Linked DNA regions of Alligator mississippiensis. The protein of the gene in region 2 interacts with the protein of the main gene of each other region in a pairwise test. Links are inferred from orthologs where the notes say so. Each region holds a gene or a part of one and is shown on either strand. Other genes may lie near its edges. The genes, in order: CPSF7, RBM10, THAP1 and RBM12B.

Region 1 (8,069 bases), on a different chromosome or scaffold from region 2:
GCAGGCTTCATCTTTCCTTGTCACTGCTGCAAAAGGCCACTAGAGGGTGCTCTATTGCTAGCTGAGCTATCCTTAGAACATATGTCAAGGCCCACCTCCTGGTGAATTATCCCGTGGCATATGCTGGAAAACCAGAGCCATGAATCTTGCTGTCACAGGCAAGTTCCCGTCTCCATTAATCACAGCCTGCTAATATTCTCTCTGGTGTCTCAATTAGACCTGGCACACAGCTACTGTTAAATAGCAATGCCCCATCCCGGAGGTGACTGTATTTAGTTATGGGTGAATTAAAGCAGTACTGTTAATTGAACAGTACACTTCAGGATCTTCTTTTCCCTGAGCTGTTCTTGATGAAGGCAGCAAGTCTGGTGCATGGTGCATTAGACAGCTGGAGCACTTGCTCCATAGGAACAATGGAATCAAAGGATTCACACTGGAGCAGAGAAGGGAATTGTGTTCACTTAGACCAGAAGCATCAAACACATGGTCTGCAGGCAAGTTGTTTCATCTAGCTCATCAGGCTACCAGAAATTGGTGGGGTATGGCCTGCCATAGAATCTGGGGCCCCTGTACCCTGGTGGATATGGCCATGGGTCATGCATGCTCGTGCCAATGCAGCCTCACATGGCCCACTGCTGGTTGCCCTATAACCACTGTCTGGGCCATCCCCATTGCCAGTCCCTGCTTCTATCTGCACACTGTCCTGGGCAATTGAGCTTGGGGCATGGGGTGAATTTAATACCTCTGTCTTAGACCCACCCAAGAGGGTATTTCCAGTAGGCAAAGACAACATGCCAAACTGGAGTCTACCCAGCATAAAACAGTCAACCACCTCACACAGCAATGTGCCATGGCTTTGATAATGAGTATTCAGAGGTACCATTTGACATTTCATCCGACAAAGTATTCCCCCTTGCACCCTGGTACCATGCTGGTGCAGTGCTAGCAGACAGAATGCCCCCTTCCAAGTCAAACTTCTCCTCTTCTGGTACTTCACAGACTCTTTATTATTGCATTGCAATTGAAAGCCTTTCCTAATATGACTCAGCATTTTACCTCTACCCACAGCCCTCTGCATGATGCCCTTTGGACTATTTGTTGGCAGACTGGTAGGAAACACAGTTGTTGGGGGTAGCTTCTCTCTTTCCTACTTTCAAACCTCCCAGTCAGAGGATGCCAAAATACAGCATACTCCCTATAGTGGAAGGATGCACAAGGAATGGTGAAAATGCTGCAGCCATGACTGAGGTTCCCAGACACACCAGGAGGCATTCTGCAATGGGTCAGAACATGGTCATACCAATGCTCGTGCGACTGTTGCCTCAAGGGGTGGTATACACCATTCAGATGCATGCAACCATTGCTGGGTTGGACTGCAGCACTACACCATGATGGAACCAACCCATTCATAAATTCCAGTGTCAAGAAAAGTGTTTGACTCTTTATTCAGTGGGGCGCAACCACTGAGTGGAGGATTTCATGTTGAGGGAGATCAGCAGTGCAGATTTCCAAAGAAGTCCAGAGCCTCAGCTTCTACTCCCATGGCTGAAAAGATGGTCCTGGAGACAACAGGGCGCCTTCACTTGGGTGGCTCGAAGAGGTACTCCAGGTCTGGCTGTCGCAGCCTCTGCTCTCTGTTCTTGTTCTTGGTGAATTCTTTCAGCATCGCCATCACTTCATTCTGAAACACCTCTGGGGTAGGCTTTGCTTCTGCAAGGAGAATGTCCTTAGGCTCACATCTTTGCCCCTGCATAGTGCCGAGCCCTGATCCACCCCAGAGATGACACAGCCCCGATTTTACTGCCTTTCTAAAACCTAGTTCACTAAATGCTGTGGGACCCACTAGGACCAAGCAGATATCTGCTCCTCCTAACCCCAGCTCAGCTCTTGGTTACAGGAGGGTGCAGGCCCCCACAGCCCACATGAAAGGGACCAGCTGGCAATTAGTATAAGCCTGGAAGTGTGAGGGTTGGGAGCCCCTGCCATTCTTTCAGTGTGACAGTCGCTGTCATGGCTATTCCAGTCCATGAGCTCAGTGGAGCTCATGCATGCCTGTTACCACAGAGGGCTTCCTGCTCTATGTCACCATGGGAGATGGAGCCTCCATCTAGATGGTGCTAGGCTGCAGCTGTACCTGTCGCCCAGTAGTAGATATCCCAGTCATTGCTGGGCTCGTTGATTAGACGGTCATAGAGGTTCAGCTGTTGCTCAGTCATGCGGTGCAGATTCTCCTTTGCAAAGAGGCTATGACCAAGAGAGAGAGAGGAGCTGAGAATTATTAGGAACAGAAAAAGTTCCAGACCAGATCAGACCTGGTGACCCTCTAGCATACTGGCTCTGCAAACAGCAGCCACCACATGATGCAAAAATAGACAAAAGAAACCCTGGAGTAGGGAGGTATGAGAGTACCCACCCCACAACTCATTAGGTCTCTCTACTAGTTGTGGATTAGCTAAAATTCTAAAGCATGAGATTTACTGTCTCTGTCCAGATTCTTCAGTCATCCACCCAGGTAACTGTGGACCTGCTTGGTACACACATTAACACCTGATACCTCCTGGCATCTAGCTATGTTCTTAGCATTTACAACTTCCTATTACAGTGAGTTCCACCAGCTCATTATACACTGGGTGGAAACACCTACAGCTCCTTGAATTGGGTGTGAGTTTGCTTTCAGCTTCATTTCATGCACTTTTGCTATAGGGGGCAGAGAGCAGTAAGGTACCCTGTTGTACTTCTCTTGGCCACTTATTTCATTGACTCTCTCTGGATTTTACAGCTCATTTCAAAGCTTGGGTGACAGTTGAGTCATTCTTGTTTTCCCTCTAAGTCGTGTTACCTCACTCTTACTGGCACTGAACTTCCCCTGCTGTCAAGCTGCCCACTTGTCTCGCTCGGCCAAGTACTACTGAAGTTCCACGCAGCCCTCCCTAGTTTGACTACCTTCCACAAGGACTCTCTGGGGTGGCAACTTTTACTGGACCAACTGCATAGTTAGCAGAAACCACAGACAACCTTTCAGGCAAAAGGTGTCTACTGTGGGGCCGGGAAAGGCCCTGTTACCCTTTTCTTGGATGCCTGTTATTTCACTAACTCCTGTGTCCCCTTTTTTGGCCTGCTTCCTAGGAATGGGAATCTTTGCTTGTCTTCCAGAGCGGTGGTTATCAACCTTTTCAGGCTGAAGGACCCCCTTGATAGGTTCACAGACGCACTCACTGACATGCATACAGATACAGAGACGCGCATATAAACATAGGTGAGTGCACATACACACACAAAGACTCGGGGGGGGGGAAGGAGGGGGCTTGATGCCAGCTCTTAGCTTTCACTCAGTTTTTTGCTTACAGGAAAATAGTAGAGTGATTCTTCTGTTGCAAAGAACTCAGAAGAATCAAAATAGGTCAGAGTGTTTTTAACACCATGGATTCCTATTTGAAATCTCTGGGCTTATTGGGTGAATCATGTTTGCACACCTAACAGTGCTAACACTAACACAGCACCCTGCTTTGAGAATCACTGTTCAAGAGTTTCTTCCTCCCCCAACCCTTCTCACTGCTCTGCTCTAGAGGAAGGCCACTTTGTGCCTGAAGGCTTGCCTAGGACATATAGAGGGGCTGATAAAATGCATCACCCTGAAAACCTTTCACATACTTCCTCACTCATCGGAGCTACATCATCAACCCTCCAACCTGGCATAAATTCAGTAACTCACTACTGCTGGGTGGTTTCAGTCCCTCCAGCTCCAGAATAAATCCATTAGAGTCTGAGACCTGGGGCCCTTGGGTTCCTGGCACACTGGGGGAAGGGGGGTGCCCAGGGGAGACCAAACCCTGGAGCTGGCGGCATGTGGCGGCCACAGCAGGGCCTGTACAGCACTGTCCATGGGGGCCATGGCAGTTGCCCCAATTGGCCCCCCCCAGGGACGGCCCTGTCTGTATCTGCACATCTGCGTGTGTGTCTGCGTCTCTGTGTGCATCTGTCTGTGGGCATGTGTTTTTATGCCTGTATGTATATGTGCACATCTCTGTGTGCATCTGTGCACGCCTCTGTGTCTGCACACCTGTGTGTATCCATCTGTCTGTCTGCGTGTCTCTGTATCTGTGCATGAATATGTGTACATGCACATCAGCACATTTGCATCTGTTCATGCGCTTCTGCATCTGCACACATGCCTGTGTCGGTCTCTGAGTGTGTGTAGGCACATCTCTGTCTGCGTGTCCTCTGTGGGCTTCTGTGCCTGCACATCCATGTGCATATCTGTCTGTGAGTGTCTGCCTGTTGGTGCATGTGCACATTTCTGTCTGCTTCTGCATCTACGTACATACCTCCATGCATGCCCATGTCCCTGAGTGTGCGGTCGTGTCTCTACCCATGCCTGCTTGTGCATGGCTGTGCCTGTGTGCACACACACATCTCTCTCTGCGTGCCTGTGAGCCTGCCTGCGCATGCTTGTGTCCGCATGCAGGAGTGCATCTGTCTGTGCGCCAGTACGCGTGCACGTACATCCCTGCACATCTCCGGGGGCGCCTGTGCATACTTCTGTCTGCGCCTGTGCCTGCGGGGGGGGAGGGGCGGGGGAGGGAGAGGTGCACCCGGCTGTGTGCGCGCCCGTCGCCGCGCACCTGAGCAGCAGGCAGTTCTCCAGCATGCCGCGCTTGCGGCTCTCGTACAGCAGCCGGGCGCGCTTCGTGTCCAGCGGCTCGTGGGGCCGCGCCCGCCAGGGCGGCAGCGGCATCTCCAGCACGTCCCGCCCGGAGCCGCTTCGGGCCGGGGCCGCCGGCGACATCGGGGCGGCCCTGCGGAGGCACAGGCGGCGCAACTGCCCGGGGGGGGGTGGTTATGGGTATGAGCCCGAGCCCGGCCCAGCCTGGGGACCCCCCAGGACCCCACCTCACCTGCCTCAGCGCCGCCGCCATCACGCCACTCCTGCCCTCCCGCACTCTAAGGCCCGGCCGCTCTAACCAACCCACTCCGCCCAGACTCTATGGTGCCACCGCTCCGCCCCGCCCTGCCCTGCGCGCGGGCCGGCGGGCGGGCCGGAAGGGGCGGGACGTGGCGGCGGAAGGGGCGGGACGTGGCGGCGCTGGCTGTGGCGGTGAGAGCGGTTCGCGCGCTTCAGGCCTGCTCGGGACGCGGCCTCCCCTCCGCTTCCCCCCTCGGTAACGGGGCCGGGCGCGGCCGCCTGCTCCCTTCCCGCGAGCCCGAAACTGGGGGTCTAGGTCACACGAGGCGCCCCGAGGCCGTGACCGGCGCGCGGGGCGGGGGGGACTGTGCGCATGCGCGGCGGGGAGGGGAGGGGAAGGGAGGAGGGAGCCGCGAACCCCCCGGGGAGGCTGCGCGGGCGGGGTGGGGGAGGGGCCGCGAGAGGGGTGGGGGTACTAGGGGAGGTTGGTTTTGGAGGGGGATGTGGCCAGGGCAGCCCCAGAGACTGAGGGGCTGTTTCTTCCATTCCCCCCGAGCAGTTACCTCTCTGCCTCCTGTTCCCCCACCCCGGCTCCGGCGCCCGGAAATATGTCGGAGGGGGTGGATCTGATTGACATCTACGCTGACGAAGAGTTCAACCAGGTAAGCAGAACAGGACCCTGAGTGGAGCCCTGTTGGGAGTCTGGCAGCCAGGGGACGGGGGAGGAAGCCGTGCCAAGCCCCACAGCAAGCAGGAAGGCAAGGGGGGCTCTTCCGTCAGCACAGGACCAAAGTTACACGCCAGCATTTTCTCAGGTGTGAAGGTGGAGGTCTAGGAACAGTGTTAGTTTGCTGCAAGTCTTGACTGAGGACCTCCAGGAAGCCTCTTAGTGCAGGTTTTGCTCCTGGTGTTATGGCAGGGAGGGGGGCAACGTTGAGAGGTGGTAGGAGGAAGAGGTTCATGATGCCCCTGTCCAAAGCATTTGCAGAGCCGGGGATGATTTGAGAATCAGATCATCCTGCTTTGCAGAACAGGAGGGAAACGACCTTTGGGTAAAGAGACAGGAAGCAAAAAGTAGGAGAAACGTGTATTGAGTAACCATAACATGCCTGTGTGGGTTGTAGGCATGTAAATACAGGACCTTCCTGGGCTGCCTTGGAGCAATCGGGATCCCTGAAACTTCACAGGTTGTTACCCACTTAGATACCTTTCAGTTAACTGGCTACGAGCAGAGAGGTGCCATACTATGGGAAAGTCTCCTTGTAAGCAGGTAGCTGAGAGTCTATCCTGGATTTATTAGTGGGTGTGTGAATAATGGGGGGAAATTTGAACAAGTGATGGAGAGCGGCAAAAAATGCAGGGAGGGAAGGAGGATAGCTGAACACAGCAGTGCAAGCATGTTGGAGAGTTTTTGGAGAGTTGAGAAGTCTGGACACATGGATGCAAACGTGGCTCTTTGAAGATAAAGATGCTATGTAAATACGAAATCAGGCTGGAAGAAGGAAGGTTGGAGGATCGGTTGTTGCAACAGATTGGGCTTGCTTTCAAAAAGCAAAACATGAGGAACATGAAGTTGCCAGTTTTGCCCTGAGGGTAATACATTTTCTGTTCCAGAAAGGTGATGGGTTATCAAATGAGAATGTGCTTTAGGTTTTTTTTTGGAAATTAACAGCAGCAAAAAGCATGGTGACAAGGGGAATGTGAGAAGCTTTTCAACTGTCTGGGAAGAAACAGAAGTGCTCTCTGGATGAATTAAATGAGAACAAAATTAAGGCTGGTTATAAAAATTGCTAAAATACTGAACTTAAGCCATGTACCAGTAGTCTGGTTGCATCCCCACACAGAAATTGGTCTCAATGTAAAAAAAAATTCTTCCCTGGATATATTTATAGGGCATTGCCTGCAGCACTGGAAACATCCCAGGATGTAGCAGATCCCCTGCAAGGCTCACTCGTTTTTATGCTTTAATGTGACAGGATGGCATTCTGTGTTGTGCCCACTGAACCATATCAGCTCAGAAATACTCTTAATTTGCATGTGTCCTTGCAGTTGGCTTTTAACAAACAAAATCAAGACAATGCGCATGACAGTTAGGAAAGTATTAAACCTGTTGCAGGTATTATCAAAACATGGTATCCTACAGATTTGGTTGGCAAACTTAGTGAGTCGTTGGGAATTTTTTTTGAAAGGCCACTGGAGAAATACCAACAAGCTGAAGGAAAATAAGCATGGTACTGATCAGGGAAGGAGAAGAACTTCACGTTGGCAGTTAAGTTTGGAAAGTCTGGCAGTTCCTAATTTTTAAAAAAGAGAATCTGTTTCTCTCTCAGAAGATAGCAGAGATATGGACATTTGGCTTGCTGGGTTATAAAGGAAAAGTCATACCCCTCATGTTTAATAACAGCTATCATGGTCTTAAAACCTTATGCTGTAATATTAACCCAGGTTAGCTTGACTGAGAATTTTCACATGGCTTCAAAAGTGGCTGGAAAGGTATTAACCAGGAAAGGTAATAAAATGCAAGGTATTGAGTTGCAAGGGATGTGTCTCCTGGGATGCTGAAGGAATTGATGTTGGGTCTGATCTTGCTCAGCTCTTCCATAATTTTCCGCAACTAGACAGTGGCACTAATCGCAGATCCTACCTCAAAAGGAAGGACAGAAATGCTGAAGCCCTGTGGGATTAAGTATAAGCAAAAGGTGAGAACTGGTGCTGAAAACACATCCCTAATAGATTGGTGGGCGTTCTCCAACAGGCAATGTACAGAGTTGAGGAGTAGAGATGATCATTAAGTTACAAGAAGCAAGATTTGTTTGATAAATATATTTTACTGGGAGAGAGATTAGACAAGCTTTTGGGCACAAAATGACAAAAATAAATAGAAATGATAAGTGAATAAAACAGGTTATCAAAAGGGGTTTCACACATCATGGCTGCAATAACATGGCTACAATAACATTACGTTAAGTTCCATTTTCTGTAACTTTTTGCATGACCAGGCTATAACACTTCATTTTCAGTGGGAGTAAGAAATTTGGAAAGCAGTTATGGTTTTGTGGGGTGAGAGTAGCTAATGACAGCGTAAGCAGGGGTCTGTTACCCATCAGCTGGATCCCTGTCCCTTGGCAGAACACCATTTTTGCTTTATGATTCCTGAAACATCTTA
Region 2 (8,275 bases):
CATACATCATTCTCTGTGGCAGCCTGGGGCAGCATGCGCAGCATAATAATGCTGCTGGCTTTCTGCTCATCCTCCTCAGGCTCAGGCCGGTAGTCCTGATCCCGGTAGTCACCGTCTCCAGGAAAGCCCAGCACCTCACTTGGGCTGTCCCGCTTCCGCGGTGGCTCTGAACCTGATGATGCCTCATAGGAGTCCTAGAAGGAGAGATTAGGGGGGTGGGGGGAGGAGTCAGAGATTCAGTGAGGGCAGGGCTTCTAATCCCCCCTCAGAACAAGGCAGGCTGGAGGCAGGCTTACATCCCAGGCAGAGAGTGGGATCTCACCCACAAAGAAGAGCTTCTGCCCTGAACTGGACAAGGGGGAAGAGGGCTCTGTCCCCAAGGGCAGGGTAGGCAGGAGGAGCCTATGGTGGAGGTAGGGCCAGGGGCAGCAAGAAGCAGTGGAGAAGCCTCTACCAGGGCAGGCAATTATTTCGGCTAGAGGGCCACTTAACGAGTTTTGCTGAGCTATCGAGGGCCACATGTATAGCCCCATCCCCTGAAAGTATATTTTTGCCTTGATTTGTGTGCGTTTGCACAGCATATCTAGAGACGATAGCATAACAGCTCAAAATACGCTCTTACTGTGTGTGGCATGTAAAGGGGTACATGTAGGGGGTTGTGTGGTTTGGGAGTGGGTGTGTAGGATAATATGGGTGTGGGTATGAAGGGGGGGGGAAACTGCGTGGGGGCTGTTGGAGGTTGTGGGTGGGAGGTGGAGAGCTAGCCCCACCCATCCCATTCTGGCTACAAGGCTGTGACCCACATGGCACAGAATGTGGCCAGCCCAGTCCAACACAGTTCTGTCTGCAAGGCCAGGGATCTCATGGTACAGCAGGGAGACAGCCCGGCCCCTCCACACCTCACTGCATGGGTCCTGGCCTTGCAGCCAGGAACAGCATGCCACAGCTGAGACAAGCCAGGCCAGGTTGGTTCCATGCTACACCATTCGGGTCCCAGCCTTGCAGTCATAACTGCATACTGCCCGGAGGGCACAGGACAGGCTGAACTGGCTCTGTGTTCTGCTGCATGGCTCCTGGCTGCAAGGCTGGGTCCCACACAGCACAGTATGGAGCCAGCCCAGCTTATTCTAGCTACAATGTGCAGTTCCCAGATACATGACTGGGACCACAGGACACAGCAGGAGCCAGCTGGGAACTGCTGGGCCCACACTGTGCAGTCCCGGCCTTGCAGCTGGGAACAGTAGGCGCCAGCCAGACTGGCGCCTGATGTGCATGCTGCCAGAGCCATCCCAGCCCCCATGATTCCTGGCTGCAAGGCCAGGACCACACAGTATGCCATGGAGCCAGCCCAGCTCGGCCCCTGGATGACTCCTGCTGCATCTTACAGTCCTGGCTATGCAGCTGGGAACCATGTGCTGCCAGGCTCAGTTGAGCCAGGACAGGCCAAGTTGGGCTGGGTCTGGCATCATGCAGCTCTCAGCTGCATGGCCAAGACAGCAGAGCGCAGCACTGTGCCAGCCCAACCCGGTGCCATGTTAGTGTGCCAGGAGCCACAAGAAGTCCTGTGTCATGAGGCTGGGCCCACTCCATGCCTCCATGTGGTGTTCCTGACGCTCTAGCCAGGACCCGCACATGGAGGCACGGAGCCAGAGTCCTGCGCGGCAATCACAGGCGGTCCTCTCCAATCCAAACCTGTTCTTACCTGAGTTTCCACTCTCAGACAGAAGGAGGCTGAGGACAGGGTCACAGGCCAGAAGCCACTACTAGCCAGAAGCTTTGGGTTGAGGGCTGGGGGTGAAGTGGGGCTGGGAGTGGAGCAGGGCCAGGTGGGCCTTGCTGCTGCTGCCAGCTCCTCCTGCCACTAGTGCCTCCTCAGTTTTTAGACAGGCAACCACTAGCAGGTAATAATTTTCTAAGTTTTAGAGGGGCCCCATGGGCCCAATAAAATTGCCTGAAGGACCAGATCCAGCCTGCAGGCCATATTTTGCCTGTCCCTGCTCTATCCCCAGAGATAAGGTGAAGAAGGGGACAGGGTCTGACCCCAGATATGGGAGGGAATACACAAGGGGACTAGGGCCTCCACTTGGCATGCTGGAGGGCACCCGAACACCCACCTCTGCACTGTGCTCCCCCGAAGAGTCGTCATAGTCTGTGGGGGGCTCGGGTCCCCCAAAATCCCGGGGATAGGAGCGGTAGTCCATGTCCCGATAATCGTGATCCCGCTGGCTGCGCCCCTCGCTGCCACCTTCGTCCAGGGGTCGCTCTGCTGTGCCGTAGCGCCCTGTCCGGTCACCACGCCCACCTCTGGGGAAATGGGACAGCGGTGGGAAGGATCAGGGGGCTTTCAGAACCATTCCCACACTCCAGTCTGGTGGCTTCCCCCCTCCCTCTAACCCAGCACTGGCTCTACCCCCACGCAGAGGCCAGTACCCACTGTGATCCCTCCAGGGTACTCCTGGGAAGCCTCCCATCCCCTGCAGACCTTGACCCTGCCAAGCCAGACCCCCAGGGCAAGTCCCTGGGCTAAGGGTGTGGGGAACAGTTTGCAAGGCTCTATGGGGCTGATTACCTTCTCTCGTACTCCATGTCCTCCAAAACAGGTGCAGTGCCTCTGAGCTCGCCGGGCCCCGGGGAGAGTGGGGCGTTGCCACGCACCTAGATGCCCCCAAAACTGCTGCCACGGGACCTGGGAACAGACAAGGAGAAAGGGCTCAGGGCAGGGTCTCCCCCAGCTCTGAGGGCAGCGGGGGCGACGCCTGTGTTCTCTGGGGTTGTGGGGAGGGAGCGCGGATGCCTCGACTCTCCGGGAGGGCCCCCTCCCTCAGGCCCCGCCCCCTCGCTGCCAGTGCCCCACTGCTGCCCCAAGCCCCGCCCCCTCCCGTGAAGCCCCGCCCTTCCCCTTCTGCGCGCCGTCCCGGCACTGACCTGTCCCGCGCGGCGCTGCGGGCGGCGCCTGCCGGGCTGGACGCACTCCCCGTGCACCCGCCGCCCGCCGCCCGCCTGCCCGACGCGCAAGATGGCGGCGCCAGCGGCCGAGTCCTGAAGGCAGCGGGAAGAGCGACCACGCCCCCCGGCCCCGTGCTTCCATTGGTCCGCAGGTCTCGCCGCGCCGGTAGACCACTGGCCCGTCGCGCCGCCGCTCAGGGGAAGGCCCACCCTTCCGCGCGGATTGGTTCGTCCGCGCCAGGCCTCGCCTCCTGCTTCCTGTGATTGGTTGAGGGGATTGAAGTGGTCGCCTCCTCCCGGCGAGTAGAGGGTGATGGGGCTCCTCGTGAAATTCCGCCTACGTTCTGTTGTCATTGGTGGAGCTCCTGGGCTGGGCGGGGATGGAAATGGATCCCGCCTCCCTCTGTTTGTGATTGGGTGGAAGCGGCCACAGCACCACCTCGGGTCCCCTGCATGCTGAGGGCTCCTCCCCCGGACGGAAAGCTGGTCTACGTTGGGACTGCAGCAGATAGGTCGCTCCGTATACTAGTCCCGCCTTCACTGCTACATGATTGGAGAAGTCAGCAGCCGCTCGCAGGTGATTGGTAGAGCTTTCCCATGGCCTCTACAGATCGCAATTGATTGGCAGGGACAACGCAGAGCTCGCTAGCACGTGAGGTGCTGCAGTGACTTTATGATCTAACGCCGCAGCCTGCGGGAGGTAGTCATCAGCGTTCTTTTACAACGTCATCAGAACCAGACCACCCGTTGGTGGAGAAGGACGATGATGCTCCCCGGTAGCAGCGATGTGCTTCGTCAGTGACACCATCAATCAGCGGTCTGGTTTAGTTACCGAGTGACGTCATTGCACTAAGATACCGAACTATTATGTCCCGTCGGGTCTTGCAGACACCGCACTCCTGGTCGTCCAGCCCCCGGTATCATCCATGTGTGTCAGTGTGTCACAGTGGGATCCGAGGGTCGGGCAGGGAGAAGTAGCTGGGAGACACGGAATGGATTCTAGGCAGAAAGGTGGGCTGGGAGGGAAGAGCCTGCTGAGTTGGTGTCGTGCGTCTGCCCTAGTTCAGCTTCCAGCTCCCGGAGGGGACACTCTCTGCACGTCCCCAGGCCCAGGGGAGGGAGAGAAACCCCAGGATGCAGGCCCAGCAGGGGCTGGGAATTAACCTGGGAGTCCCCTGGCTTGGGGTCTGTGCAAGGCTACGGCTCGGTCCTGGGGTACTTGGGAGGGTCCAGGAAACGAGCTGGGACGCGAGTATGGAAGGTGGGGAAGGTTGTAGAGGGCTGGGGTGGGAAGTACGAGGTACAGTCGGAGGGAGTACTATTTAAAAGGATAGAAGGAACAAACGTGGTACAGTCCAGGTGTACCGAGTAGACCCGGTCCAGGGGACGGGAAGAGAAAATATGGCACAGTCCAGGGGTACCAAATGCACAGTACAGTCCAGGGGGCAGGAAAGAGGGAAGATGAAAATCCAGGTGGGGGGAGAGCCGATGAGGATGAAGATTGTGCAGTCTCGGGGAAACAAAAAAATACGTGGTGCAGGCCGGAAGAGGTTATACAGGGAAGAAAGATAGTACGGTCTTGGGGGATGTTACTAAGACCCTGGAGGGGATATGGTACAGTCCTAGTGGGTAGATGGAAAAAACGGAACAGTCCAGGGAGGGGCATAAATAAAAAAGTACCTACATGATACAGTTCCATAGGACTGAGTAACAAAGGCAGCATTTGGATGCCCCTTTAAGGACCCCATTTTAAAGTCGGCAGTATTTAACTCCACCCCCACCGCCAGTTCTTTATTTAGTCCCACTATAGCCCACCTGCACGTAAGCAAACTCTCTGGAAGTGCTCCGCCTCTTCCGGCTCCGGCTAGGAGCCCGGGGTTGTTATGGCGGCGCTGAGGCGCGGCGGGCACACGTTACGTCTGGGTGGCCAGGCACTTCTGGCATTACGGGTGCCCGCGGGACCCCGCCGAGCCGTGGCCGCGGGCAGCGTGAGAGGCGACGCCGTCGTGACCCCGGGGGCTCCGCCACCGCCGCCCCCCACCCCCGTGCAGGCTCTCGAGGACAGGGAGGATCACATGACAGCAATGCTGCGCAAGGTGACGGCGAAGAGGCGGGGCCAAGGCTTGGGGGAGGACCAATGGTATAGAGGCGAGACAAAGCAATTGGGGAGAGGCCAAGGGGCAGTGGAGGGCAGAAAAGTGTTTGGGGGCAATGGGGGCGGGGCAGGCTCACAGAACAGTACAGGGAGGGAAAGGGTGGGGTCAAAGAATAAGGAGGGGCAATGGGGGCGGGGGCAGGGGCAGCTGGACCTAGGAGAACTGGGTTCAATTCCTCCCTCACCCAGGGGCTCCCTGGTCTGGCACATCCCCATAAGATGTGTGTGGGGGTCTGGGAACCTGAACCCCTGGGTTCTCCAGCCCTGTGAAGGGCTGGGGCCTAAGAACAGTGGGATGCCAGGTGCCTGGGTTCTCTTCCCTTCCTCTCTGCCCCTGTCCAGGGTTGGCAGAGGGCATTGCCAAGGTCAGCCAGACTTAGCCTCACCTCTTAAAGAAGCAGGCACAACTCTTCTCCCAGGACCTACCTCCCAGGGTGGGAACTCCTACTCCCTGCTGCCCTCTCAGACTGGGAAATGGAACCCAGGCATCTGGGCTCCCCCTACTCTCATACACTCCCCTCACTGAGAAAACAGGTGCCCAGGGTCCCAGCTTCCCCTGCTTGCACCTACACTGTTCTCCCAAAGCTCAGAGAATCCAGGTGTCTGGGCCCTAGGGCCTGGCAGTGGGTCTCTGTCTCTATCACCTTGGCTCCAGTTCCCAAGTGCTTGGTGGCAAGCTACTGCATCTGGTTTTTATTATACTCAGCTGCCTCCCAGCCCCCCCCACTCCACCCCAGAGCTGAGTGCATCCAGGCACTGTTTTGCTTTGTTATGTTCTGCTGCCCACTTGTTCAATACCCAGGTGTGCCCAGCTCTGGGGTGGGGCCAAGACATCTCCATACCCTATTAAATTCAGCCATCTTCCAGCCACACCACTGCAGAGCTGGATGCATCTGGGCACTGAACAACCTCTTTCCATACCCTGTTATATCAAGCTGTCCCCTTCTGTCCCAGCCCAGAACTGGACTCATCCAGGCACTGAACAAGGTGTCTCCATGCTTTGTTCAATGCAGTTGCCCCCTTTCCCCCAACCTCAGAATTGGGTGCACGTGCTTATTGAATAACCTGTCTCTCTGCCTCAGTCGGACTCACTCCAGAGCTGGGTGCATCTGGACACTGAACAAGCTGACTCCATACCCTGTTATATTCAGCCATCTCCCAGCCACTCCACCCCAGAGTTCAGTGAATCTGGACACCGAACAAGCTGTCTCCACGCTTTGTTCTATGCAGGCATCTCCCTTCCCCAAGCCCAAAGCTGGATGTACTTGGACACCGAATAAGCAGTCTCCAGGGTTTATTATACTCTGCCATCTCTTAGCCACCCCATCCCAGAGCTCAGCGCATCTGGGCATTAAACAAGTAGACTCCATGCCCTGTTATACTCAGCCACCCTGCCCCAAAGCTAGATGCAGACTGGGCACTGAGCAGGGAGCGGGGGGAGGAATGTGGTGCCCCCCAGCCACTGATGCCACCTCTCCCCTTGTGCCCCAGAACCCAGATTACCATGGCTTTCATGATGACCCAGTTGTGGACTTGTGGAACATGCGCATTGTCTTCTTCTTTAGCGTCTCCGTCTGCATCGTCATAGGCTTCACCCTGATGCACTACATGCCGGATAACGGGTTAGCAGGGTTGGGGGGGGAGGGAACTCAGGACATCTGGGTTATCTGGGAGAGAAGTGGGAGCTAGAGAGTGAGAACAGGGAGAGGTGGGAGCCCAGATGCTTGGGTTCTCTGCCAGAGGGTTGAGGGGGGTGAAGGCAGGGGGAGCTGGGAGCCTGGATCCTTTTTGACTTTCTCCCCTTCCCCTCCCTCCCACAGGATGCAGGAGTGGGCCCGGCGTGAGGCAGAGCGGCTGGTGCGGCAGCGAGAGGCACAGGGGCTGCCTGTGCTGGACCCCAATTACTACGACCCTAAGACACTGGTGTTCCCCCCTCAGGATGAGGACTGATAGCCCCCCCCCCGTTTCCCAATAAACCTGTGTGATCTGCCTGACTCCTAGCTGGCTGTGTTTGTGGGGGTGCCAAACATCAGGAAGGGGGTTGGGGGCCCAGATGCCTTGCTTCTGTGGGAGGTGGGGGGAGGGAGGTGGGAGCCTGGATGCCTGGGTTCTCTGGGAGGGGAGCGTGGTGTGTGGGGGTCAGAGTCAGGGAGGCTATGACCCTAGGGACCTGGGTTCCCTTGGAGGGGGTTAGCATGGAGAAAGAGTTAGTCACCCTCCATCCTACAGAATCTAGCTGCTTTGGGCTCTACAGCAGTCCTTTATGTACCGTATTGTCTCATATGACATGTCGTCCTCCCTGCACCCCAGAAGGCAATATGGCTACTGCTTAGCTGTTTCTGCTTCCTCTTCCCCTCCTCCCCACCCTTGCTAGGGGTTGGGACCTCACCTTGTATGCCATAGAGCAAGTGTTCCAGGAAATGCAATGTCCAGAAAGAAGGGAACTTCAGGAGACAGAAAGTTCCTGCCCCAGTGCTACTCTGTGTTTGGCACCCTGCCTGTGCCCCCTACCCCACCCACTGCTCTGGTCTCTGTTCCATGCCCCAATTGCTGTTCTACTTCCTACTCCCTGACCTATGCCCACTGCCCATCCGCTGCTCTGTTCTCTGCTTCCTGTCCTGCACCCCCTTCCCCTGAGCTCATGTCCTTGAACACCCTAGTTCCCCCAGGCAGTGCTTCTGTTTCCCCTGGGATCCAAAAAGCCCCTAGTCCCTCTGACAGAGGAGTGGGGGTGGGGGTTGGAGCTGGGAGCCCAGATGCTAGGGTTCAGAGTGAGGTGTGACTGGGAGGGTGGGAGCAGGGGGTGCTGGTAACCTGGAGTGCTAGAGGGGGCCCAGAAATGGGAGGTGGGAGTCTGGCCATCAGCTGTGGGGGGTGGCTGAGAGCCTGGATGAGATCAGAGTTACTGTCACTTACAGCTTTCCCAGAGACTGCCTGGGGCAGCAACTGCTGTGCTTCCTGGCCACTCTGTGCCCCACTGTATGACCCTGGCACATGGCTGGCTGTGATGCCCCACAACGGGGAGCTTCCAGGCTTAGTGTGCAGGGTCCAAGTGAGGAACATGTGGTAGGCGAGGAGTTATGGTAATGCCCAGAGCAGGTGGCTCAACTCCTCTGGCATCTGGAGGGTGGGGCTTCCCCCTTCCCCTCCCTCTTTTTCCCCTCCCCAAAGGCA
Region 3 (7,151 bases), on a different chromosome or scaffold from region 2:
CTCAACCCTGCCCGGAGGGGAAGGGAGAGGGGCAAGGGCAGGTCCTGACATCAAGTCTTACCAGAGGCTGCTTCAGGCTCACTATTCTTGCTGGAGGTAAGTGGAGCTTGGGGGTTGCACGACAAGGCTGGGGGGGAAAGCTGGGTAGGGGCTGAGGGAACAGGGAGGTTTGCAGCCAGCTGGGCACTCCGGCTGGGGTGAAGTTTGCAGCCTCCCCACTCCTGGCCAGAGTGCTTGGCCAGCTGCAAACTGGAGTGCCCAGTCGACTGCAAACCTCCACACTCCCTCAGCCCCCAGCTAGGTACTCCCTAGCCAGGAGGTGAGGTTTGCAGCTGGCCAGGCACTCCGACCGGGAGCAGGGAGACTGAACACGCCCCTCCCTACCCCAGCTGGAGTGCCGGCCAGCTGCAGACTGAGTGTCAGAAATGCTGTGCTCCCTACCCTGCTTCCCTCCCCCAGGCCCTCCGGAGCGCAGCGTGTGCAACTGGCACGGCAGGGCACAGTAGGGCCACACAAGAAAGCTGCCTGCTGCTGCAAGCTCCATTCTGCCCTGGCCACACTTCCTCTGTGTACATGGGGGCAGCGCAGACCCGCCCTGTCCCCACCCCCCACAGATCTGGGGGGCATGGGTCCCCCCTGGCTCCCAGGACTGCACGCTGCCATGGGGAGCTAGCCCTGCCCAAGGCAGGCAGGCAGCAGTGGGGGGAGCTGGCTCATGCTCCTACTGTAGCAACTGCTGCCTTCCGCTGGGGGCTGTGGACCTGGGTCCCTGGCCCCATAGCCCTAGCAGCTGTGGGCTCTTCCAGCAGGGCTGTGGGACAGGGGCACAAGCAGGACTGGGGGACAGGAGTGAGAGACACCAGCAGGGCTGTGGGGGGGATGTGGAGGGCATTTAATTTTAACCACAGATTTTGGGATTTTTATCAGAGAATTTACAATTTATCAGAGAATTGGGGGGGGGTTATAATGGAAAACCAGGATCCCTGCTTATAAGTTGACCAAAACTATGATCATGCACAGGGAACAGTCTCCTTCCCACAGTTCTCCTTCTTGAGGTTAAAAAAAAAAAAAAAAAAAAAAAAAAAAAGCATGCATTATATATCTACATATGTAAATTTGTGTCAGTCACTCCTTAAAGAGGAGTTTTCATGGTTACCTTTTCACTGGGTTCAGTGTAACAGAATATTGTGGGCACGGCGTTCTCTTTCAGGAGCTTATTGTTACACTCCCTTTTAAAGCAATCAGGAGTGAAGTGTTCTGAGCAAATGCTGCTGTACTTTGTTGGCTTGAAATTTTTCCTTTTCACAGCGGTTTCCCATTTCTTACAGAGATCAGGCCTTGTGAGAGGAAACCTGCAACCAAGAGGCACTGTCAGCTTCCTGTTGGGACTCTCGTTACATGCGAGCATGGCAGCACATGTTGGACACTACTATGTGCGCCGCCACTACTTGACTCGCCGGCCAGCCGCTTGTCCCAGCAGCTGGCTCCAGGCACCAACAGGGGACATCAATTGGGCCACATGCTGGGCCTCGTTTGAGGCACATGGATTTCAGAGACCTAAATGCAGGCGTGCATAGGTATTCATGACACGCAGGCTACCACCACCTGCCAAAGAGCACCAGAGGGTAGGCTAGAGATGCACCTCTATAGACTAACGGCATCAGATATACATACACACATCCATAGGCACGTGCACATATGTACATACATACAGACATGTATATAGACATGCATATACGCATGCATGTGTAGGCAGAAGTTGACTCGCCTGACCATAGTGCATGGGTGGGGTCACACTCCCCCCCACCTTGTGGCCGAGAGGCATGCTTAGTGCGGCTGCCAGGGGCCGCCCAACACCCCTCACGCGAGGTCCGTCCCGCCTCCACGTGGGGCTGCGCGCGCACCCGAGGCTCCTGGAGGTGACAGGCCCCGCCCCCAACCGCCGCCGCGCGCCCCCTCCCCCCGGCCACCGGGCGCGCGCGGAGCTGCGCACTGGCCCCGCCCCCCGCACCGCTCGCGCTCACTTGTGGAAGGAAATGGGCTTCTCTTTGTCGTATCGGTTCCGGCAGCGGTAGGCAGAGCAGGACTGCACCATCCTGTCGCCCCGGGGCCGCCCGTGCCGGCGATGCTTCGGCCCGGGGGCGCGGCGGACGCATAGGCCCCGCTAGCTCAGTGCCCGGCGCCCATCCCCCCTCAGCGACCCCCTAGGAGCGACATAAACAGGACGCGGCCTCTCCCAACTCCAAGATGGCGGCGCCAGCTTCAAGGAAACTCTCGCGAGAGCTCCCAGTCGCATTTCTCCATTGGTTCTTTCCTCGCGCGTGGGCGGGACCTTTCCGATCTCCCAGCCAGTAGCAGCAGAGGCTCAGAGAGGACGCTGGCTGTAATGGCCCCGCCCCCTGCCTATAGCGGGACCCTGCCCCCACGCGTCCGGCTCGCGCCTCTCGGCCTCTGCCCCGCCCCGCCCCGCCCCGCCCCGCGGGGGGGGCAGCCGTGCACGTGGAGCGCGAGCGGGTGCCTTATTGTCGAGCGTCGCATTCCTGCCCTGGTGGTAGCTGCTGCCCAGCTGCTCCTAGCTCGCCGATCTGAGTGCTGCAGCTTACGCGGGAAGGGGGACACTAGCTCCTTCCTACGGTCAGCTGGTAAAGGAGGGCACGGGGCTGCACTGCAATGACATGTTCTGCGATGAGCTGCAGGGCACACAGTGGAGATGCTTCCGCGTGTGAATTGGGAGTAGGCTTTGAGTATTGCTGTCCTAGAGCGAGGTGGGTGCGAGCCTCGAAAGCCCCGGGCGTGTTGCAGGGGCGGGCTCCTGCGAGGAGACCCGGCTGCAGGGAGTAAAACTGGATATTCTCACCGAAGTATTGCCCTGGGTTTTGGGGGAGATGTTCCCTTCGGGCTTCAAGTGAAGGGTCAGTTTTTCAAGCCTTGACTTCCACAGTTTCCAGGGATTGTCATTCTGGCTTGACTGAATACAGGTAGTCCTCGACTTTGAGATGTTTGGAGTTGCAACGAATGGCACTTACGTTTATAAATTGACACTTTCCACTTTCTGACATCAGTTTCAACTTTACAACACTTGATTCAACCCCACGCGAGCAAAAAAGTTTGCTGCATCGCCCATCTCCCTGGAGAACATCTGTCCAAACTTCCCTGGACATTTTCTTTAACAAAGCAGACAAGACACCAGAAAAACCTGCAGCCAGGACTCCTGAGAAGACTCCAGCCAAGCGCCCTTCAAAAAGTCCAAGCAAAGTCACCTCAAATAAGTTCTTCCAAATCAATATGATTGCTGTTTACAATATAAACACATTAATGTAGCTACATTATTCATCTATAATTGATTGAGTACAAAATTCTGGGTTATTTTGGGTGAAAATAGGGTATCAGGCCTTGGTTCAGGAACTGATCCCCCATTTATAACATTGTTTCCTATGGGAAAATTAGTTCCGAGTTACCATGTTTCGACTTAAGACGCTTTTTTCAGGAACCAATTGTGTCCTAAGTCTGAGGACTGCCTGTACTCTACAAAATCTGGGCACTACTTTAAAAAATAACAACTTGTGACAATATTAGTATACTGTACTATTGAAATTGGGAATGTGAAGAACCTATGTGTCTATTCCATTCACCCAACAGCAACTCAAGAACAAATTTCAGCAGACCCCAGTAACAAATCTAAATAAGATAGACAACATGGTTTAAAATAAGCATCTCTGTTGTTTTTATTGGGGGGAGGTCTCTGCTCTTTCATTGGTGGGATTCCCACTCCAACAGCTTAGATCTTCAGATTGTGGTGGGAAGCATTTTTAATGTAGCAATGACCAGCAGTAGCTTGTTAGGATGAATGGCAGAGGTCCATCTCTAATGCCCTCTGCGGAAGGAAAATTCAGCTACTTCCTAGCCCAGGATTTACTTGTAAGGGTCTGTCTCAAATCAGCTCTGTCTGTGATACAACTCTTCCCTGTTGAGGAGGTAACTAGTAGTTTTCTGGGACAGCCCTGCCACACCTGCTGGGCTTTAAGAGACTGGTGATGTGACTTAGTGCCTCCCACTTTATGTAGATGGAACGTGGTAGCCTGCTTGTTTGGACCTGGACTACCTTTTGGGATACCAGTTCTCATTGTGTCTATAGGCTCACCCTCTTTCTCCAGAATATCAATACGATTGATCTTTCAGGAGAAACTAACGTCCTTGGTAACGTAATTTGATGTGTATCCTCAAAATTCTTCCATAACCCACTGTTTCTTTTCCCCACAAAACCTGCATCTTCCCTGCCGTAAGCACCAGTTTCCCTAAAGCCCCACAATCTCCCTGGTCTCTGCCAGACCTGTTTTCTTCTGTTTTCCTTTGCACTTTTCTCTATCAAGCCTCCAATTCTCTAATCCTGTATTTCTTGAAAGTCCCCCAGCCAATTCTTGCTGGTCTTTCTGCTTCCCTAGATATCTGCTTTCCAGGTACCACTCCAAGGTGTCCCCACCTCGCAGTGCCTTTCCTAATATCCCTTTTCCCCTACATTTTCTCAGAAACTCACAATGACCCTCCTTACTCCAGCCCCCTCAAGCTCTCATTTCTCTGTTAATACCTGTCATACTTCCTGTTTCTCAAGGTCTCTCATCCTCTTTCTATTCTGAGTCTCATTTAGCTACCCTTCCCTAGAGTACTCCCTAAGATGAGCTACAAAGGGTGATACCCAGCTGCTGCCCAGCATTAAGGCAGACTACTGCAGGTAGCAGGAGGCTGGGGTATAACATGCTGACCCAAACTACTGCTGCTGACTAGAAAATTTTTCCTCAGACTCTTTGACTCTTGCAGCCCCTAAAGGAATGCTCCTTTATGTAATGTTGGGTGAAGAGGAAAACCATTTGGCAAGTCAGGCAGAGGGCTCCTTGCTTGTCAGCCTCTTCCCTTCCAGTTGATTTTGGAGCAGAGCCAGGAGGCACAGCACCATAGCCCAATACCACTGAGCAGCATGCAGGTGAGCATGAGCAATGTGGGTGCAGACAGGCTGAGCAGGCGGGTGCCTGGGCAGAAAGGGAGCCTGGTCCTGAGACAATGAGTGAAAGTGTCCAAGGGTAGTGATGGATGACTTTTTGGCCCTGTGGGTCAGATGAGTGGCCTGAAGCTGGTCTGTGGGCGAGATGCCTTGCAGTGTTGATGCCAAGGTCAGGCTCCAGTGCCCAGTGCCAGCCTAGCCCTGTGCACCTGATCTAGCACACAGAACCACACTATCCAGCCTGCAGGCTCCCCACATGTCCCAGGAATTTGGCAGCAGGGGAGCAACAGTTAATGCTGCCACTACTACCAAATTTCCAAACCCCTGGGAAGCCCTGGCTCCAAGGGCCAGAGCCAGTTGAACACCCCTGTGTTGGGAGAAAGGATGAACAGATGTCCTGGGGGGGGGGGGGGGGTCTTGTGACAGGAGAACAGGTGGAGAACTCACAGGGAGCACTGCTCTATTATTTGTGGATTAGTTATAGCACGCCCTGATGGTCACTCACTCAGTGAGCTAAAGGGAACACGTCAAGATGAGCTGTCACCTTTAACATGATGGCTTTAAGCATGAACACTGCCTGCCCCTGGAGGCATGGTGAGCTCCCAGAGGTGGTGGGGAGGAGGGTGGCAAGTGCCAACCAGTGGTCGGCAACTACCTGCAGACACTGGTGGCAGCGGCCAGTGGCAATTGTGGATTGCCCGCAGACGCCACCGGCAGCGTCGGTGGCAAGGAAGGGTGGCGAGTGGCAGCCAACACTATCTGTGGCACCTTTTGTCGGGGTGCACCACCACCCTCGGGGTGTATGTGCACCTGTGTGCACCCCCTACGTGTTGCCAATGGCTTTGAAATCCCTGAACAAGACTCTGTCAGCAGAACTCGACAGAATCCAGCTGTCCCACCCAGCAGTTACCTGGGGGCTCCGCTTCGTGTGTCCCCAGTGAGGACAAAAGGCCAGAGTCTCCAAATGTTGGGAGCTGAAAAACAAAACTGTTGAAGTTTGAAAACGCCCAGATGGGGCAGTCCAACCAGCTGCAGTCAGAAACATTTGTAAAAGAACCCCCTCCCCCCAAAACAAAACTCACAAACCTGCATTTTCTCACAGGAAAAAAACCCATCACTGAGAAGTTTCTTAACCCACTCCCCACAGGTGAAGGCTTGCCAAAGGTTTCCGGGCCTGGCCCGAGCAAGCTGAGCCCCGGGCGCCCTCGGGCGGGGGCAGCGCGCTCGCTTCCTCCTTCCAGGCCCCGTCGCCCCTCCGCTCGCCTTCCTCGTGTGCCGCGGGCGCCAAGCCAGCTCTCTCCTGGGCTCGCCGAGGCGGCGGGGTGGGTGCCGCCGACGCGGCAGACGCGGAGCCGCGTGCGAGGGCCGGGCCCGGCGCCGCCCCGCCCCTGCCGGGGCTCTCGCTGCCGCCCGCCAGCCCCGCGCAGGCGGCTCCGGCTCCGCTGGCCCCGCGCGCCGGGCCGAGGCGACCCGCCCCGCGGCCGAGCGCACAGCCCCGGCCCCGGCCCCCGCGGGGGGTCGGGGTCCCTTCAGCGGCCACGATGAGCGGCGGCGGCGGGAGGGCGGGCGTGAAGATGGAGGCGCCCTTCTACCCCGAGGAGGGGCTGGAGCTGCTGCCCGACTTCGTGCCGCTGCACGGCTTCGGCGCCGGCGGCCCGGGCGCGGAGGCGGCGGCCGCGCACAAGCTGCTGCTGGGCGCTGGGAAGAAGCGGGACCTGGCTGCCGCCTCCCCCGCGCCGCTGCCGGGGCCCTTCGCGCTGCGGCCGGCCGGGGCCGGGGTCGGAGCCCGCTCCGCCGCTGCCCTGCGCCTGCTCCCCGCCGCCGCCCCCCCGCCGGGCGCGGGGCCCCGGGGCGGCCCGGAGGCGGCGCTGGTGGCGCCGGGCGCCCCGGCCGAGCTGCCCCTGCTCAAGCTGCCGCCCGCCGCCGACCTGGAGCAGCTGCTGATCCAAGGCGCCGGCCCCGCCAGCCCCGGCCCCACCGCCGCCGCCGCGGGGCCCTTCCTGTACCGGCAGCAGGTGACGCAGGAGCAGGAGGGCTTCGTGGACGGGTTCGTGAAGGCGCTGGCCGACCTGCACAAGCAGAACCAACTGCTGGGCGCGCCGCTGTCGCCGCCCGGGCCCTGCTGCGCCGCGCGGCCCGCGCCGCCTCCCCCCGC
Region 4 (7,209 bases), on a different chromosome or scaffold from region 2:
CAGCAAAATCACCTGCAGACAAAAAGGTACACATGATAGCAAGTCTTTAGTACTCATCTATCGCAGTATCTAAGCTCTTAAACTAACACCTTTTTAATGAAAATCCCTGATTCAATCAAGCTTTATGAAATCAAGCAAGAAGCTCACAAGTTCACCACAATCATTGAATCCTGTTTTAATCTTGAAGTAGATTTAGTCAAAACCATTAGCTATTCCACCTGGAAGTATGCACAATCTGTCAATATTCCCTATCTAAAGGCAACAAGATCCACATGAGTCAACTCCTCACCATCCACGATAAATAAGGACCATCTCAAGTCTTTCTTGGCATGGCTGCTACTTGTCAGAGATGCTAAGAACCAAAGTCTTCTCTTTGTGTTAGAGGCACTTGCTATCACAGCACTGAAAAAACTGAAAATAAAAGATGAGGGGAAAAAAGAAGAAAAAAAAAACCCCTACATCACCAAAAAAGCATTTCAGTGACTGTAACGAATGTTATGCTCTCAGACAAGTTGTCTACCAACTAACCAGTTCTGCTTACAAATGCGTATATATAACAAACAATGCAACAACGTTGTCTCTCTTCTTGCAGCAGCCAAATGCATTCAGGAAAGCATTTCCTATTTCCCAGTCATAAAGTCTGTGAGAAATGGCTTTGCGTGGTCTTTTGACAATACTGAGCGAGAAATGTTAGCCTTTAGGCAGCTTACCTGGTTCTGCTTGGAAGACCTGATAAATTCTGTAAAATCAACTTAACTGTGGAAAGAAAATGAGACATAATTAATGGCTGATATCACATCTGGTTAAAATACTGTGCCACATTGCTATTGTACATCCATATCAATAGCTAATATTAACAGCCAAGCACTGTAATGAAACCACGATTTGGGTTGTTATGGAGAGGATTCCTTCCTTGTTCCAAGAGAAATACAAGTCAGACAATGTAATTCAGCAAAATGTTATGCCTTGCACTTTTGCCTGTGAATCCATTTAGAAGTAAAATATTCAAAGGTAAAGTTGCTTCTGCAAATGATGAAAACATGCCAAGATTAATGGGTCATCAATTGTGCCACACTGAACTGTTCACAGGAAACAATGGCCAATAAGGTAAAAGGAAAAACCTCTTCGTTTAGTCCTTGAAAGATGCATAAGTCCCACTGAAGATTACATTAAATGTCCAATTCTTCTGAAATCCACCTGCTTTTGAAGTGCGTGACAGAATATGCTACTCACCACCATGGTATTCTTGAAGACACATAATGAAGAAAACCATAAGACAGAGCAAAAAAATTCAACAAGCAGAAATTCCGGAGAGTACAGGAAGTTACAAATTAAACTCATTTGTATTTCCCCCCAAATACCTACTGTCCTTCAATCACAGAACCAAAAACACTACCTTGAGAATCTTAGACTTATCCTGGTCTTTAAACAATTCCTATAGCATGAAAGCCATAGACTACATAGCATATTCCCCTACAGAAACAAGGTAAACCTATGCATGGAATTACCATCATATCATTAGCAATAATAAACTCTGGCTGACAACTGTTTAAGCATACAACATTATGCAGCAAGACTTGCAACAGACCAGGGAAGAGACAGATCTGCACAGCCACCTCATAACCAGAACAGCCCATTGCTTCACCTGAATTAGCACAAAAAATAAAACCAAAAACGTTTCTGTAACTGGCAAATCCAGTGCCAATTTCTAAATTTGTTACATCCTTGTTTTGGAAAAACAGCTACAAGCTAAAACAACTGCATGTCTGAAAATCACACTTCTAGATAAAGAGCTTCCCACATCTGTACAGCTATCTTCTCAATCGATAAAATGGCAACGCCAACATGCAAGGGAAGAATTCAACAGGAAAGCCAATTTTCCCAACAAACCTTCGACTCGAAGTCAAATCCGTATGCCTGCATTTCATTTGGTGGTCTGTAGTATGTCAGCAGTTTTCTACTTCCCTTCTGCATTCCCATACCAATTATTACCCAATATTCTGTCTTCACCCCAGAATCAGCGACGTTTCTGTGACGATAACTATCAAGATCCCTGCGATACATCCCAGGCCTAACATACAGCTACTATTCTTTAAACCAGACAAAGATCACAACAGTAGTGAAACTGAAGTTGTCCCACAGATAAAAAAAGAGCCAAGTGCAGCCAATGAACTTCCACTAGCCGTCCATCCATGCAACCAGCAGCTGCAAGTGCATGCAAGGCAACAAGTGCTTTAAAGGAACGACCCAACAAAGCTACAGGTAGCTTAGAAAGCTTTTTTCTTTAAATACCTATGAACAGATCAACACTTGAGCAAAGCCTTCAAAGGAGGAGGTTGAGAGAGACCGAGCAGGAAGGGTTTTGTGAAACCCTAGGTAGCCACCGGCTCCAAGCCTAAAACCCTGCGTAGCTCAAGCTCCATTTCTGATGCCACTTCACAACGCAGGCAGCGATCTCCTCGCACGGGAACGGGGCCCGGCCCACAGTGCCACAGCCGGGCCGCCCATCCTTCTCCTTTCCGCAGCAGGCCGCCAGGACGGAGCCCCACACAGGAGCCAGCGGGGGACGCAGCGAAGCACCAGCGCCCGGGGCTGGTGTGAGAAGTGGCCGACGCCGAAGCAGGAGGTCCCTTTCCCGCAGCGCGACAGCCGCGCGCTCCTGCTGCCCGAGGCTCCCGGCTCCCGTGCGCAGCCATTGGGCTCCCGCCGCCCCCGTCCTCCGCTCCTCGGCCCGCTCGGGCCGGCTGGCGGCGCATCCCGCGTTCCCGCCCGGGCCGAGAGCCGGCGCTGGGGCCGGCGGGGAGAACAGGCCGCTCCCGCCCTCCCCCGCCTCTGGCCCTCTGCAAGCGTGGGGCGGCCGGTCGCCGAGGAACCCCGCCCCGCCCCCCTCCGAGCCAGCAGGCGACGCGGCCCAGCGCGAGCAGCCGCCTCCCGCCGCCGTACACACCGGTGCCCACTACACAGGCGCGAGGAACCGTCCCCTCACTCAGCGCCCAAGTCAGGCAGCAACAAGATGGCGCCGCCCCACACCTCGCCGCATCGCGCAGGCGCGACCCCCTCCCCTTTGACCTTCCCGCCAACAGACGCGCGAGCCTCCAACCGCTTCCCGCTAGGAGGAGGCGCGTACGGCTTGCGTTGCGTCACTTCCGGTGCTAACTGCGCGTGCGTGCTAGGTTCAGGTTTCACTACGCATAGGCGGGTTGCATCCCGGACGCGCGCAGGCGGCCTATAGGGAGCCGTGATTGCTACAGACGGCGCGCATGCGCTCCGCAGCGACGTCTGGCTACGGACCTCCCCCACCCCCGCCAGCGGGATCCCGGTCGCCATGGCGACGGCTGGGCGTTGGGCCGCCGTCGCGCTGCTGCTGCCGCTGCTGCTGGGCGCGGGGCCCTCGGCCGGGCACAGCTTCTCCCTGCCCCTGCGGCGGCCCCGCGACTGCGGCGAGCCGCGCTACTTCGACACCGCCAGCCTGGCGTGCGGGGCGTGCGGGCCGCACCAGCGGGGCAGCGCCTCGGGTGAGCGGTGAGGTGCAAGGCGTCGCCCCGCCCGCGCCCTCTGCTCAGGGGAGCTGCCGTGCGGCTGCCGGCCCCGGCCCCTGAGCGCGTCGGGGGAGCCCTGGAGATGAGACTTCTCTGGGGCGCCGCGGCTTCGAGCTGCTGGAGAGGGGAGAACAGGTCCTGCCCGGGAGGGCGCCGTAGCGGCACGGCGTTGCCGGGTCTTAAATATGAAATGATCCTATTGGAAGCTCAAAATTATTGTATTGGCTGAAAAACGATTGTATGCTGAAAATATGCACATAAGTATGTAAATAAGTCTTAGCCAGGCAGCGAGCAAGAACTGGGTCATCAACGCTGAAGCATTTCTTTATTTTGAGGCAAGCAGTTGTAAGCAGGGATCCTGTGGGAAAACGGAGAAAACAACGGATTTTCCCCTTTACCGGTGGAAAACATGGATCTCTCATGTTTATCAGAGAAACCTGAAGATTTTGCAGTTTTGCGAAGAGCGCTCTGCAGGTGGGCTGGGGCGGGTGGGAGGAGGGCGGTCAGGCAGGGGGCAGCGTGTGCGTGTGTGCGCACATAGTTGCTGGGCAGCCTGGAGAGCAGCTCCTAGGTGTAGGTGCAGGGTTGGGGGAATAGAGGCCTCCCATAGGGAGGGCAGGGCTGGTGCTGCTGTCCCAGCCGGGCAGTGCATGGGGCGTGTGGCCCTGGGCTGCAGTGTGTGGCCACAGGGCCTTGGTGGGGAGTAGCATGAGGCCACAGCTTGTCTGGCGGGTGAGCAGAGTAAGGCCAGCTCCTGCCGCTACGCACACTCCCAGGAAACAGGGAGGACCTGTGCCCCCCTTCCCCCCCCCCCCCCCCGATATATATGCAGGGTGGGTGCAGGCTGCACACTGCAGGGTCAGGCTCCCACCTTGCTGCCCTTCCCTGGAGCATCTGCAGCCCGACAGGTGCGAACCAGTGGTTCAGGGAACGGCAGGGCCATGCAGGGATCTCTTTGTTGCTGCGAGATCCGCGCTGCCCTAGTGACATGCCCTCTGCGCAAGGCAGCAGCAGGGGCAGCACCATGGCGTTGTGCCCCTCGCTGCTGCCGCATGCGCTGGGGATGCATTGCCAGGGCTGGGTGGGGCTGTGGGGGTGGCAGTGATTGGCACAAGCAGGGCCGGGGGACCGTGGAAGGAATGAGGGGCACCAGCAGGATTGGGGGGACAAGTGGCCTTTCATTTCAATCGCAGATTTTCCAGGGTGTTTTATCAGAGAAATTGCAATTTTTTTGTTTATTTATTTATTTCTTAAATCAGGGAAAACCAGGATCCTTGGTCATAAGGAAGTGCTGGCAGCAAACCCTAAAGTCAGTTGAAACTCCCTGAGAGTGACTTGGGTTTAGAATTTGCTGCATCAATTAGCTGCCTCAAAAATTATCATACATTTTGAAGACTTCTGCTGTTATAGATCGTACAAGGGTTGAAATTATCGTACAAATATGATAATTATACTCTTGGCAACAATGAGCAGGTGGCCCACAGCGACAGCATAGCCTCCATCTATGTGCAGTTGGGAGAGCAGAATAGGCAGGCACTGAGTAGGGATGGATTAATCTGGGGGCAGGGGGACAATGATTCGGGCTGGAGGGCTCTTTAGGGAGTTTTGGTGAGGTGCTGGAGGGGAGGGGAGGCAGTTGATCCTGTCCAGCCTGGCGTCCACCCTGCACCCTGTGCTGGGGGTGCCAGATAATGTGAGCAGGCAGGCAAGGTCTCCATGGAGACCATTCATTGCACTGCGTTGGACAAATGGGAGGGCACCACAGGTGGGTGGGGAGTAGTGTCGTGGAGAGGGAAGGGTGGGCAGGGCACAAGGCAGAGCCATGACCCAGTCCCTGCACATCCCTGCGATGAGGAACAGGGACATGCAGGGAGCAGATCACAGTTCTGCCCCTGACCCCACACTGTCACTGCCCTGTGATCCCAGCCCTAGCCCTGCCTGCTGATCCTGCTCCTAGACTCTGCTTCCTGCCTGCCTGCAGCCCCATCCCATCCACCCAGCTGAGCATAGCCTGCTTGTGGGGGGTCCCAGGCTGATCTCCATGGAGACCCCGCCCAGCTGCTCCATCCACCATCCCTGGCAGTGGATGCACCAGGGTGCCCAGGTAGTGGGGCTGGGTCCACCAGTGGTGACAGCAGCAGAGATGCAGGCAGCAGCAGCCTGCCATGGAGGCTGCCAGGAAATCAAGTCTGGCTTCTGTTCTGCCACTGCCCTGCCATGTGTGCCTGGGCTGGCTCCTGGGCTAGCAGGGCCAAGGAACCTGCCACAGGCTGGATAGAATCCTTTGGGCTGGATCTGGCCTGTGGCCTGTATTTTGCTAGATGACCTCAAGTCCCTTCCAGCACTGAGAAGCTATGGTTCTATGACCCTGGAAACTTTGTTGTATTATTTTTATGTAACAGTCTAGGGCAGTGGTGTTCAACATTTTTCCCTGTGGGAGCTCATGGGCAATGCCTGGTCTGCTGCTCCTGGATAGTAGTTCCTATCCAGCTCCCAGGGGCAGACACCACTGGTCCAGGAGGAGGGGACAGATTGCAGCCGAGCTCAAGCTTGGTTCTGCAGAAAGGGGAAAGAGGCTTCATGGGAGGGCATGGTTTGGTCCTGCAGGGGGAGGGGGCGTGACCCAGCCCCACCTGGGAAAAGTGGGGGCCATGGCTCAGCCCTGTGAGGGAAAGGAGTATGATTGGGGAGGCATGATCAGCCCCAGTCTGGCCCTGCGGGGGGGAAGGGGAGTGTGGGAAGGGGGAAGGAGGCATGGTCCAGGCTGCAGGGATGGTGGTGGCCTGGCTTCGACCAGGCTTGGGGATTTGGCATATTAATGGCTACTGCTTCCCCTCTGACAAATTTTCCATTTGGTGAGGAGCCCCACAGGCCAGATGCAATGGCTGCTTGGGCTGCAGGTTGAGCACTCCTGATCTAACTTCAATGATTTGAAGTTAGATCAAGACAAAACGTAAGGTGTTTGTTGTGGGAGACTCCCTCCTGAGGGGGACGGAGGGGCCAATCTGCCACCCCAACCCCTTAGCCCGGCAAGTCTGCTGCTTCCCAGGGGCCTGCATCCGGGACATTGCGGAGAGGATCCCCAAGCTCCTCAAACCCACAGACCACTATCCCATGCTCCTTATTCATGTGGGCACCAGTGACACGGCTCGGAGCACTCCCAGCCAGGTCATGAGGCGCTACAGGGATTTGGGAGCGGGGCTTAAGGGTCTGGGGTCACAGGTGGTGTTCTCGTCGATCCTCCCAGTCTCAGGCTATGGGCTGAGAAGGGACAGGACGATCTATGTGGTCAACCAAAGACTGCGGCACTGGTGTCGTCAGGAAGGCTTTGGCTTTCATGACCACAGCCCGCTCTTTGGCGAGAGAGGCAGCGAGCTGCTGGGAAGAGATGGTCTCCACCTCTCTCCTCTAGGGAGGAGGCTCTTCTCAGCCAGACTGGCTGACCTGCTCCACCGGGCTTTAAACTAAGCCCGCTGGGGGACGGGGGGACTACCGCCACTGCTGGCCCGCTGAGCAATCCTTGCAAAGCCAGCGGATCACAGCACTCAAGGGAGCCCACCCCAGCCCCAGCCCTGGTAAAATCTGTGGGCAAGGAAGGAGCCCCCCAGGGGGCACTTGTCTGCCTGTACACTAATGCCAGGAGCTTGAGGAATAAGCAGGAGGAGCTCAT

The links.
Region 1: the proteins of RBM10 (region 2) and CPSF7 interact in binary tests that used the Homo sapiens proteins (3 or more experiments, as listed by UniProt). The two-hybrid records come from large-scale screens. The link is inferred for Alligator mississippiensis from reciprocal best matches to the Homo sapiens genes RBM10 and CPSF7.
Region 3: the proteins of RBM10 (region 2) and THAP1 interact in binary tests that used the Homo sapiens proteins (3 or more experiments, as listed by UniProt). The two-hybrid records come from large-scale screens. The link is inferred for Alligator mississippiensis from reciprocal best matches to the Homo sapiens genes RBM10 and THAP1.
Region 4: the proteins of RBM10 (region 2) and RBM12B interact in a two-hybrid assay, tested with the Homo sapiens proteins (3 studies listed by BioGRID). The link is inferred for Alligator mississippiensis from reciprocal best matches to the Homo sapiens genes RBM10 and RBM12B.

What each region holds. Positions count from the first base shown.
Region 1 is NC_081825.1:177,663,657-177,671,725, reverse strand, and holds the start of CPSF7 (cleavage and polyadenylation specificity factor subunit 7), read left to right. Parts: upstream 1-5,051; 5' UTR 5,052-5,159; intron 5,160-5,462; 5' UTR 5,463-5,511; coding exon 5,512-5,565; intron 5,566-8,069. Other genes in the region: SDHAF2 (succinate dehydrogenase assembly factor 2, mitochondrial), read right to left, coding at 1,580-1,710, 2,135-2,244, 4,623-4,819, 4,896-4,916.
Region 2 is NC_081831.1:27,613,626-27,621,900, forward strand, and holds the start of RBM10 (RNA-binding protein 10), read right to left. Parts: upstream 3,033-8,275; 5' UTR 2,926-3,032; intron 2,687-2,925; 5' UTR 2,587-2,686; coding exon 2,570-2,586; intron 2,305-2,569; coding exon 2,115-2,304; intron 195-2,114; coding exon 6-194; intron 1-5. Other genes in the region: NDUFB11 (NADH dehydrogenase [ubiquinone] 1 beta subcomplex subunit 11, mitochondrial), read left to right, coding at 4,830-5,042, 6,593-6,723, 6,922-7,051. UniProt on the Homo sapiens protein: Binds to ssRNA containing the consensus sequence 5'-AGGUAA-3'. May be involved in post-transcriptional processing, most probably in mRNA splicing. Binds to RNA homopolymers, with a preference for poly(G) and poly(U) and little for poly(A).
Region 3 is NC_081826.1:155,713,907-155,721,057, forward strand, and holds the start of THAP1 (THAP domain-containing protein 1), read right to left. Parts: upstream 3,230-7,151; 5' UTR 2,157-3,229; coding exon of another isoform or gene 2,096-2,156; coding exon 2,025-2,095; intron 1,353-2,024; coding exon 1,157-1,352; intron 1-1,156. Other genes in the region: transcription factor JunD-like, read left to right, coding at 6,538-7,151. UniProt on the Homo sapiens protein: DNA-binding transcription regulator that regulates endothelial cell proliferation and G1/S cell-cycle progression.
Region 4 is NC_081826.1:43,993,552-44,000,760, reverse strand, and holds the start of RBM12B (RNA-binding protein 12B), read right to left. Parts: upstream 3,053-7,209; 5' UTR 2,948-3,052; intron 2,911-2,947; exon of another isoform or gene 757-2,910; 5' UTR 711-756; intron 13-710; 5' UTR 1-12. Other genes in the region: TMEM67 (meckelin), read left to right, coding at 3,326-3,515.